Coturnix japonica: one gene and its partners. The protein of the gene in region 3 purifies or fractionates together with the protein of the main gene of each other region. This does not show direct contact. Links are inferred from orthologs where the notes say so. Each region holds a gene or a part of one and is shown on either strand. Other genes may lie near its edges.

The links.
Region 1: the proteins of SLX4 (region 3) and SUMO1 purify together in Homo sapiens (affinity purification with mass spectrometry; 3 studies listed by BioGRID, with this or other methods). This does not show direct contact. The link is inferred for Coturnix japonica from reciprocal best matches to the Homo sapiens genes SLX4 and SUMO1.
Region 2: the proteins of SLX4 (region 3) and TOPBP1 purify together in Homo sapiens (affinity purification with mass spectrometry; 3 studies listed by BioGRID, with this or other methods). This does not show direct contact. The link is inferred for Coturnix japonica from reciprocal best matches to the Homo sapiens genes SLX4 and TOPBP1.

The regions. Positions count from the first base shown.
Region 1 is NC_029522.1:10,247,003-10,250,750, forward strand, and holds the start of SUMO1 (small ubiquitin-related modifier 1), read right to left. Parts: upstream 2,638-3,748; 5' UTR 2,517-2,637; coding exon 2,505-2,516; intron 1-2,504. UniProt on the Homo sapiens protein: Ubiquitin-like protein that can be covalently attached to proteins as a monomer or a lysine-linked polymer.
Region 2 is NC_029517.1:39,238,463-39,242,210, forward strand, and holds the start of TOPBP1 (DNA topoisomerase 2-binding protein 1), read right to left. Parts: upstream 2,253-3,748; 5' UTR 2,214-2,252; intron 2,193-2,213; exon of another isoform or gene 1,808-2,192; 5' UTR 1,801-1,807; coding exon 1,720-1,800; intron 1,234-1,719; coding exon 1,099-1,233; intron 773-1,098; coding exon 629-772; intron 1-628. UniProt on the Homo sapiens protein: Scaffold protein that acts as a key protein-protein adapter in DNA replication and DNA repair. Composed of multiple BRCT domains, which specifically recognize and bind phosphorylated proteins, bringing proteins together into functional combinations.
Region 3 is NC_029529.1:10,984,825-10,988,472, reverse strand, and holds part of SLX4 (structure-specific endonuclease subunit SLX4), read left to right. Parts: intron 1-566; 5' UTR 567-935; coding exon 936-1,305; intron 1,306-1,994; coding exon 1,995-2,258; intron 2,259-2,394; coding exon 2,395-2,569; intron 2,570-3,452; coding exon 3,453-3,648. UniProt on the Homo sapiens protein: Regulatory subunit that interacts with and increases the activity of different structure-specific endonucleases.

The DNA of each region.
Region 1 (3,748 bases), on a different chromosome or scaffold from region 3:
GAGCACGAACTGAGGCCCCCAGTACTGTCTCACATTTATGTCAACACTGAATTCATGACCTTAAAGCACCCAAAGCTTCTTGCACTGAGTGTGCCAGGTATTTGCTGCTGTAGCTAACAGAACCACAAAACAAGCATTGTAAGCTTGTGTACTACAAACTTCCTCCTCCAGTTTTCTCTAGTGCTCAGCTTCACTGTCTAAACATACCCAGTCACTTCCAGCTTTTTTAAAACCAGAATTACAGAATGCATACAACTGCAATGCACTTCATTATCCAGCCAATGAACTCTGACATTTGCTGCAGGACTGAGAGAATGTATAAAACTGTGCTGCAGCATTCCACTCGTGGTCCGGGAAGAGACAAACACCTGTGTGCAACTACAGCAAAAACAACACAAGATTCTTCAGAGAAGGGAACCATTCTTCTCTCCTATTCGGACCCACCAAGCAGCCCCTTTTTGCAGGTTGCCCTTCTTACAGTAACTTTCATGATAAAAAAGTACATCTGCCATTGGAAATAAAGTTGCTAAACCAAACATGCTTCTTGATTTATACTAGAAGGGTGGGCCAAAATTCTAACTACTGTCAAATGGCATCTATCCTCTTAATAACTTAATTCTAGGGCCACACGGAACACATTGCAAGCAACACCCAATTTGAGGCTGCAGCAACGGGACAGATCAATATGATGGGAAAGGCATTACAACAACAGTGTGATGATGGAAGGACCAGCACAACAGAAAGGTGATATAAAGGAAAGGAAGATTACTCAGCATATCAGAAGATTCCAGGTTTGCAGAGGAAAGCTCCACCAAGGAGGGATGTCCAGCAAGAGATCCTTCCCCAGTGGCAGTCAGCCCTTCATGGGGTCTAGCAGAGCTGCAGCCAGGCTTCTCCCTTCCTGGTCACACAGCTGAACTGCCTTCACCTGTGTACTCAGGGCTGACTGGGTCCTTTCCCCAGGTGCTCACAGTGGTTCAGGCTGTGATTCAACAGTCCCCATACAGAGGCAAATTATTCTAGTCGATATTATTTCAACTGATTACTTTGATAAACAAGGTTTATCTACAGCTCTGCCTCACTGCACATTGTGGCATTAGGCAGCTGTTAAGCTCTTACTGCAGTCTCCCCAATACAGAGACAGATACATGACAACATTTTGCTTAGCTATTTCCAATAAATCAGTGTGGGCTGTTATTCTAAGACCAAAAAGGTAACCCCATACAGTAAATTTTACATATTTCAAGCAGTTCCAAACACGTATGTGCTTTAGCAGGACTGGGCTGGAGAAAGAATTACTTAATGAAAGCTGCTATGTGTTAAAACATGCCTTAATTCATAAACACAGAGCACTACAGAATGGGTCACGTGAATAACAGCCTACAAAATCTAGTTCAGAATTTGTGCTTTCCTTCTATGCAGCCACTTCCCTGCAGCTCCCTGCGCTGGAGACATGCCCTAATCAGTGCCAGCAACAGCTGCGCTCACAGAGAGAGGCAGGAGCATCCTCACCAACACAGCTGCACAGGGCTGAAAAGCAGCGGATGACCACCAGCACGTACAGCAATAATTTCTATTCACAACCCATAGAGGTTATTCTGCACAGCAGATAAAGCGTATCGAGTTTTGGATATCTGTAATTCCCTGGCTGGCACTGTTACTATTCTCGACTTCACAGCACTGCAAGAAACATTTGTAGATGCTAACGTCGATTTCTCAGAATTCAAACGATCCTGACAAAGTTAGAAAACACTGACATATGAAAGTACTATAAACGACGCAGTCAAACAGAGCACAGATTGGAACTGGAGCGCTGTCGTAGCTCCCAGGCAGCAGGTCACACAGCCCAACGCGACGGATGCGAGCAAAGGGCTGTGTGTGTGTGTGTGTGTGTGTGTGTGTGTGCCTGCCGAGCGAGCCAAGAACTTGCCGTACAAGGAACTATTGAAGTCTCCGGCTGACGGGTCAGAATTGACAACATCACCGCGTACCAGCGGAGGCAAAACAGGGTCTGGGTGAAGGACCGGATGTTTCATACGTGCAAACAACGCCGAACCGGGCAAGTCAGAGTTCACCCCCGCCGCCCCCCCGTCCTCGTTCCTAAGGGAGCCCTCGGCAAGCTCGGCCCAGCCCGCTGCGGGGAGCAGCATCCCACCGCAACAACGGGCAGCGAAAGGAAACCAGCAGCTGCCGCGCGCCGCCCCCATCCCGAGCCGCCCCTTCCCCCTAACGCGAGGAGAGCGCCCCGAGCGGGGCGGGATGGGGGGATTCACCCTCAGCGGGGACGGAGCGGGGCAGGACGCGGAGTCCGACCGAGGCCGGAGCCGTTCCCCCCTCCCCCATCGCGCTCCCCGACGGGACACCCCCGCCCCGCTCGGCCCCGCCGTCTGCAGGGGATGATGCCGGGGGGGTCGGGGGGGCGCGGAGGGAGCGGTTCCCGGCCGGCGGCGGGACCGCGGGGCTTCGTGGCGCCGCTCCCCCCGCGGCCGGGGCCGTCCGCGTACCTGGTCCGACATGGCTGGGCACGGGGCGGGCGGCTGCTCGGCTGGGCCGCTGCGGGGCTCGGCTCCTTTCTCTGCCCGCAGCGCAAACACAGGCCGCGGCGCGGGCGGGATTTCCTGTGCGCCTGAGCTCACTTCCCGCCGCCGGCTCCTCCCCGCCCGAGCGGGGCTCGGCTCAGCTCTGCCCGCCCCGGCTCTGCCCGTCGGCACGAGGGGCCCGACGTGCCCCGCTGCTGGCACCACGCGTAGGGCCCGAGGAACGGAGCTCAGCCCGCCAGCGGGGCCGGCAGCGCAGTGCGACGGGCAGCGGGCAGGGCAGGGCGGCATGGCCGCTGGGGGCAGCGCGGCAGTGCGGTAACGATCCCAACCCCCAACCAGTCGGCTTCAAAACAACGCACGGTACCAACAACGGGACAGACCTCACCCCATTCGCTGTTGGTACTCACAGACAGACACAGCTGTAGCCATGTGCCGGTGTGGCTCTAGCATAAAGCCTGTGTGTGATTCTTAACAACGTTTCCTACGCAGTTTGCAGTTAAAGCGCACGCTCGCTCGAGCCAGAACTCAGCTGCCTTCCCCCATAGAGAACAAAGGCGCGGCTCTGACATGTGCACGGTCGCACAACACGCCGACTCGCCGCTCCGCCTCGTTAAGGAAGTCACAGCCCCGGGGCACGAGGAGCGTTAGCGCTGCGGAGCTGATCCGACCGACCCGCGAGAAAGGAACGCAAAGACCAAGCCCAGGCTTCTCTCCTTTAACTGCATAAACCCTATATCCCATATATTTGCAGTTAAACCACATTAATGCTGCTTTAAAGAAAAACGGAGCACACACACGTAAGGCTCTTATCAGAACACTCAAAGCCATCGCTGCTGCAACCACCTGGGAATTAAGCGAGGCTATTATGGGAAGTATTGCTCCTGCTCTGATTTTCTCCCTGCAACTAATCTCAGTCACTTGGAGTCCCTTCCATTAGCTCAGGCTGAGGTGCGGCTCTACTCGAGGCCATGGATGCAGCTGAGCAGGGAAGGGCCGCAGCATTCCCTCACAATCTGTGGCCCATCTCCTCTGCATAACACCTCTTTCACCAACCAAACACAGGCTCTTGAACATCAGATACAGCCACTTGGCTCCTAACACAGGCTCCTGAACAGCCAGTTGGCTCCTAGTGCTGGCACAGCTGCTCGGGAGCAAAAAGGATGAACATAACACTCTAAGCTCCAGCCTGGGCTGTCAGCACTGAAACA
Region 2 (3,748 bases), on a different chromosome or scaffold from region 3:
TTGCATGGATGGCAAACAAAAACATAACCTTAAGTAAAGATGATATTACCATCAGTAATAAGATTTATTGATGGCTGTTCTTTCAGGTAGCATACATAAGTTGTTGGAGTGTACCAAAAGAAAACCTTAGCATAACTCACGTAAAGCACAGCTGGCTGGATAATTAATGTTTACCATAGACTGAAAAGCCAGAAATGTAACATGTTGTCTTCAGCATGATAGCTGACCAACACATACATCCATTAGCCAATAAATAAATCCTCAAATGTTAATGACATTACAGTGTTACATATGCTTATATGATATAGGCAAATGTGCACATATAGATACATCACTACATACGTGCTTGTATATCACACATTATAAAAATGCTTCCTTTCTCTCTATACAATTCTTTACATAAATGATGACTACCCTACAAACCATACAAAGACTATGCACAGTTACACTTGCTACTTGGTGTAGGGAACCTGCTTTGGCAGGGGGGTTGGACTCAATGATCTAGAGGTCCCTTCCAACCCCTACAATTCTGTGATTCTGTGAAATACTACAACTGATGCCATAGCAATAAATGAAGCACATGCCACAGAAACACCTGCTCAACCATCCACTGTGTACAATACATTACCCGGACATCTTTATCTAAGGTGGTACAGGATATCGTTACATCAGCCATGGTCATGTTATACACGGGATGCTCAGCTCTTGGGACACATCTCTGGGACTGCATGCAGTACAGGACTACCTGTGGTCCAACAATTCTACAACCGAGCTGCAATTAAATAACATGGAAAACAAACAAAAGAAAGAGAATGAGCAGAAGGTACACTGGAGCAAGGAAGGTTTTCTTTGTCCCTGAGGAACCCTTGGTAAAAACAGTACATCCTATACATTCCACTTACTTCATGATAATCCTTACACTTTACTAGCTGTCTTCACCACTAAACACAGAGTGCAGCAAAGCTCTAAAGATTTCATTGTGAATACTGCATACTACTATACTTAATGCAAGAAGAAAAACAAAGGAGTCTGAGAACATCCATAAGAGCTTCTAGAAAAAAAAAGAGTATAGCTGGTATAAGTTGATGTGTAGCATACCTTTTTAAGATGATTGAAAGCAACACCAGTAAAAGGATCACAAATGTAAAGGGATTTATCATTTTCTTTTATATCAAGCACTGCTCCTTCTTCAAGAATGTGGAGATGTTCTTCTGACTGAAATTCTTTTATAGACTGCAGGAAAACAATGCATACAACCACATTTACTTAACTGATAAACCACAAATAGTTAATACTGTGGATGTTACACAAGCACATCTATTTGAAACAGCCCACAACAGAGCTAAGGTATCTAAAGAGCCCCCGTCACCTCCCAGCTTCACTCAGTATTTAGACTTAAACACTACATACAAACTGAACGTGTCATACAGTGCCTTCAGCTCCCCCAAACCTCTCCAGGTGGGGAAAAGCTCCATATTCTTCCTATTAAGTATTAAGGCAGATAAGCAACCACCACATGGACCTTCCGGGCCTACCTGGCATTTTGTTCAATATCAGCAAGTTTTGACAGAGTTACTTGTTCACCTTGGTCAATATAATTACTGTGGAATACTTATGTTAAGGAAATGCAGCTTTATTCTTAGATGTACACACGCAGGCTGCATCTACCACAGAGATCACCTCAGTGTTACACCCAGCAGGCCCACAGCTCGCACCTACCTCCAAAGCTTTCAAGAAATACTCCGAGCTCCCAGAAGACTTTACGAATTTCACCAAGAACAGCTCCTTGCTGCCCTTCATCCTTTAACTGAGAAGCAAACCCCGGTGAGATCCCCCACACCGAGCCCACCGGGAAGCCCCCACCAAGCGGGGGAGTCCCTACGGAGCCTCTCCTTACACTGAAGCTCAGCCACCACCCTAAACTCACAATGCAAAGCTCCCACTCTCTCGCCAACCCTAACACCGCTATGTACTCGGTGCTGCCGGTGGGACACTGCCCCAACCACGCTCCCTGACACCCCACACAGCACCCACCCCCACCACGGCAGGCGGGAAAACGCCGACTCGCACTGCGCATACGCGGAGGCCAGGGGGCGTGGAGCTGTGTGGAGAGTAATAGTTGGCAGGCGGATGCCCCCTCACGCTCCTCCTTCCCTGTCATGAGTCTCAATTGGCGTCCGCTCTTTAGTTAAGGCTTATTTTTGTTTCCGTACTGCCTGTAAGGGCGGCGACAGGAAGTATTGCTTGCGAATGGCAGCTGGAAGCGTTACCGTTTGGCCACGAGATGGCACCCGTCACCTAAGAACTGAGCAGGTTGAGGGTTTGCTCAGAAGTCGGCTTCCCGCTATGGGGGCAGATGTTAAACGTAATAAAAACTTAACTTCGTAGGATCTGAGTGAGTTAACGGACAACCTGAGAAATAGCAGTCTTCCCATCTCTAGTAATGCACAAAAACAAATGAAATCTCCATCAAAATTTAGGGGAGTAAACTCTTCAAAAGGGCTGACAATAGCAGGACACAGGGAAATGGTTGTAAGTTAAAAGAGGGAAGATTTAGGTTGGATGTTAGGGGGAAGTTCTTCACTAGGAGAGTGGTTAGGCCCTGTAACAGGCTGCCCAGGGAGGTTGTGGATGCCCCGTCCTTGGGGTGTTCAGATCCAGGTTGGACGGGGGCCTGGCAACCTGATCTAGATCAAATGGTATGTATTGTGGCCCTGCCAGGGCACGGGGGTTGGGAACTACATGATCCTTTATGAGGTTCCCTTCCCAGACTCAGGTCAGTCTGTGATCTGTGAAAATGCGTGTCTGTTGAATAGGAGGTACATTAAGGGACAGGCAGCCTCCTTCTTGGCCACTGCAGGGCACTGGTGTCCCTGCCTAATTGCTTAGGGGTTGGAACAGATTGTATGCTGAAAAGGTCCCTTACCAGCCCACAACCATTCAGTGACTCTATAAAGTGACTAACTTCTTGATAAGCTGCTGGTCTGTTAGGTCAAGATCTCTTAATTTCAGCTCTGTGCTAGGGAAACTGCTTGTCCCTTGAAAAGATCCATGTTGTAGGAGACAACGCTGCAAAGAATTGGGGCTCTTCTTGTTACATACCTCTCAGAAAACCTTGTCAGTGCACACTTGCACATTTGTTTTCTTGCTCTTTGCTCGTGCAAAGTAATTCTTCAAGGAGAAAGTTACTGCTGTTACTGCATGTAGCTTCCTGTCTCTTTAAAAAAGGAATGCAAATGTTTGTCTTTCTATACCGAAATTACCCAATTTCTGCTTATAGTGGTGGTAGTAATTGCTGCATGTGTCTTAAAAAAAAACCAACTTCTGAAAGTGTAGTATGGCTTTATGTTCCCCATGTGGAAGTAGTCCAAAAGTAGTGCTTAATGTGACAAAACCACAATAACCAGTGCCTGATAAGCAAATATTTCCCTATTTCACTTCCTGGCTTTCCAAAAGCACTTGGCCAACGTAACATTCTTTGAGACTCTTTGAACTATTTATTTGTAAAACTTATTTTAAAGACAGGCTTTCCAGAGCACCTGGGAAACAGATGTTACCCAACTGGATAAAAACAGCCATTAAAATATTCACTTTTATATTCCTATCTCCAGAGTTGTCCAAAACCAAAAGTATTAGGAAATGATATAAGAGTGCTATACAAACATGATCTAAAACAATGTGTATTGTGACAAAAGTATGAACTTAATTACCTGAGTACCCCCTTTATTTCACGCTTTCTGTGTTCAGG
Region 3 (3,648 bases):
AATCCATTAACATCTGTAATTGCTTATAGGAAAGGCTGACCCATGAAAGTGTGTAACCAGCATTCCTCAGCCTTGCCTGTCTGCAGCCAAACCATTTGAGAAAACAATCTTACTCGTGTTTTTCTGCTCTGGAGTCTTTTGGTGCCCAGACCTTTGCTGGAGAAACTGAACCACAGTTGCTGCCGTTCCAAGTGAAACACACTGTTAGAAAGAATTAGGTTTGGGGAGCAATATAAAACCTCTGGTAAAATAGCCAGAACTGTAGCAAGCTTAGGGCTGGGAAGAAGAGACAATCAAAATGTCTAAGAATAGAGATCTAGTTTTAATGTTGCCTGGGGATTGATGACATTTCCATCTGGATATTGTAGCTAGTGCTCTTCCAAGTAATTTATAGCTGGTATAGCTGGTTTACTGTATCTTGAAAAGATGGAGAAGCCCTGAAATATCATTTGTTTAGTCTGTTTACCTTGTGTATTTGACAGCAGTTTGTTATACCCCTGACCTTTCACATCTTTCATGTGCATGTAACACCCTACATAACCCCCTTTTGTATTTCTTTGTTTCAGGGCTTTGATAGGTGTCTTTCTGATGCCTAGTAGCATACTAAGATCCTGTGCGTGCTCTGCACAAACTGCAGTGTTTACGATACAGTCTAGAGACATCTGAAGAGCCAGCTTGTCAGTGCAGTGTATGTGAAGGCAAGTGGGGTCTTTGAAGAGAAAATATGGCTGCAAATTAAGTATGGAAGAAGGAACCTTCAATACAATGAGGAAATGCCCACTGTTTTGACCTCAGTGAATTCTAGAGTCCAGAGCTCCCTAAGGTGATGGAAAAGATCATGTAGGATGCACACCTGAGCTGGTTCTGCTATTTTCTGCTGTCCTCCAGTCCACACAGTGTCATTAGGCAGCAGTGTTACTGGAACCTACAGGCCAATGGATGAACAGGACAGTGATTTTAAAGAGTTGTGGGCAAATATTTTGGGTAAAGGGAAGAAAAAATCTGAGGATGCTGAGGCTGCAAAGAGGACTCAGAAAAGATCAAAGAATACTGCAGCAAAAAGCAGACTAAGAAGAGGCAAAGTTGCTGCTAAGAGCCAAAACCATCACCTCTTTCCAGCAGCAAAGCAAAAAAACTTCCTTCAGGATTTGGGTCCTAAGATACAAACACTGGGGCACAAAGAAGACAGTGACACTGTGGCCTGCAGTAGTGGTGAGACTTCAGAAGGGGATGGAAGCAGAAGCCCTTTCCCTGCCAGCCAGCTGAGTACCACAGCCAGTGAGTGCAGCCAGGGGACTCTGACAGGTGAGTCAACCAAAACAGAAAACACACTAACTGATGAGACTGTAGTTCACTGGAGCTCTTCACCTGGAGAAGCCTTATAGCAGCACTGCTTGAAGGAGTTTACATCTTGTGTTTCCATCTGTACTTAGCTACTTAGGCTTATCAAGGCATTGAACCTAGCGGTATGCTCAGTACAGATGTTGCAAGATGCTTCATCTTTTCCAAGATAAAGTGTTAGCACAAAGGAGTCTATCAGGGAGTCATTATTCAGGGATTTTCACAATATCAGAATTTAGAAAAACACCTCTAGCGATCAGAGCAAAGAACTGCAGGAGCATCAGTACACTGTGCATTGGGAAGAGCAGGGCTTTAGGGCTGTGTTACTTGTTCCCCTCACTCATGACCTTCAGACAAGGCTTCTTTAATATTCCTCTCTGAAAGGGATGGAAAAGTATTTAAACTTCACTGTAGCAGGAAAGCTTGATACTGTTACTGTGGACACCAATCACAATGTGATTATAATAACTAAATAATAATAATAATAATAATAAAACTAAACACATTGTTCAGTTCTCTGTCTAAGAATAAGTGTTTCAAAGCTGAGCCTGGCTTAGGCTGCTGCTGGGGAAGGCTTTCCAGCAGCAATCTGGGCAGCTTAGTGATGTGTTTAAGACTGGCTGGCAAAGCTCTGGTGTTTTTTCCCCTTCTAGTAAATACTCAGAGTGGTTGTTCCCAGACGACGTTGTCTTTCCATCCTGCTACGCAGTCAGGGACCTGTTCTTCACCCACCTCGAAGACGCCACCTTTCACAGGCTCAAAGATGCGGGTGGCAGAGCTGGTAGTGGAGAGAATGCAGCAGTTCAAGAGGGTGGCACCTGATCAGCTAAAACACAGCACAGACTGTAGCTTGCCAAAGTCCTTAACTAGTGGAGATTTTGGTGGTGAAAGCCAGGAGCAGAACTCACCAGAGAATGGTAAGTTTGTCCTCTTTGCTTTTGTACGTGCAGAAAGAGTGCTGTGGGTTTAGTAATAACAAGTGTAACAGCTCCTTGCCTTTCATATGGGGTTCTTCATTCTGTCTTAGCCTATCATCTTTCCTTTCTTTGCCAGATCTCCATGATCTTCCATCCATGCAGCATGACAGTGCTCTGGCTTCAGCCCTTCAGCAGGAAACACAAAAGGAGTCCATGGAAAGCCTGGAAGATGCAGGCTTGTTCTTCTGTCAGATCTGCCAGAAGGATCTCACAGCCATGAACTCAACACGACGAGAGCAGCATGTTAACAGGTGAAGGACCAGCAGGATGAGTCCTTTCCGCATCTTCTCCCTGTTCAGTCAGCTTAGCCATTACAGAACGGTAATCTGTGAGATGACATTGACCTTTATGTCTTGAATTTGCAGGTTGCTTTGATCTCAAAGCAGAAGCTGATTGTCTTGCTCTGCAGGGCTTCTGCAGAAACATGTTAAGGCAAAGGCTGCTTTTATCAGTAGTGCCTCGGAGGGGCTGTGATTGTGGAGTGGCTAGCAAAATTAATGAGGAGCTGTTATTGTAGGTCTGTTAATTTCAACCCACAAAGTGATATTTTGCTCTGTTTTGCTAAAAATTGTTTTCCTAAGGTTGTTTAACATGTCAGTGCATACTGGAGTTGTTTGCTGAGGGAAAAGAGTTCAGAAAGATGGCAAAGTTGCATTACAGCATTTGGCCATGAGAGTGGAGAGGAGAAGGCCGTATCAGAATGATGAGCAACTAAGCTGAAATCAGTGCCCTTAATTGAACAGTTTCCTTACAAGAAATAGCCACGCTGTGGGTGAGGGGGACTCGCTGCTTTTCTCGTCAGGTGATTCCATTTTTAATGGTGGTTTATGAATTAGCTGGAACATTAGAATGGGTGCAGAAAGAGGGATTAGCTGATGGATGCACAGTACAGCTTAGAAGAAGTTTATCACTTGCACTTGCTTCTGAGCAGCAAATTGTTAATATGCCTCTGAGGCTGTAGTGTTCAGCTATCTGTTACATGTCATAGCCATCAGAGCAGCAGGCACTTAATTTGTATTTCATTAGGGGATGTTTCTGTGGCTGTTAAAGATGTGAGGTGATTGCACTTCCTTTTCTTCAATAGGGCTTAAATTTTAGCGTGGATAGTTCTGAAGCTTTGCTGTTGTCTCACAGGTGTCTGGATGAGATGGAAGAAGCACAGATGTCATCCTCCAGCAAACCAGCAATCCCTGAATGTCCCATCTGTGGTAAGCAATTCCAAACCCCCCAAAGCCGAGTCAGTCACTTGAAACGCTGTGCTGTCGAGATGGATGTTCCTCCTAAGATGCTTCTTCAGGCCGTACAGATGCAACTGTCCACACTTGGTGAG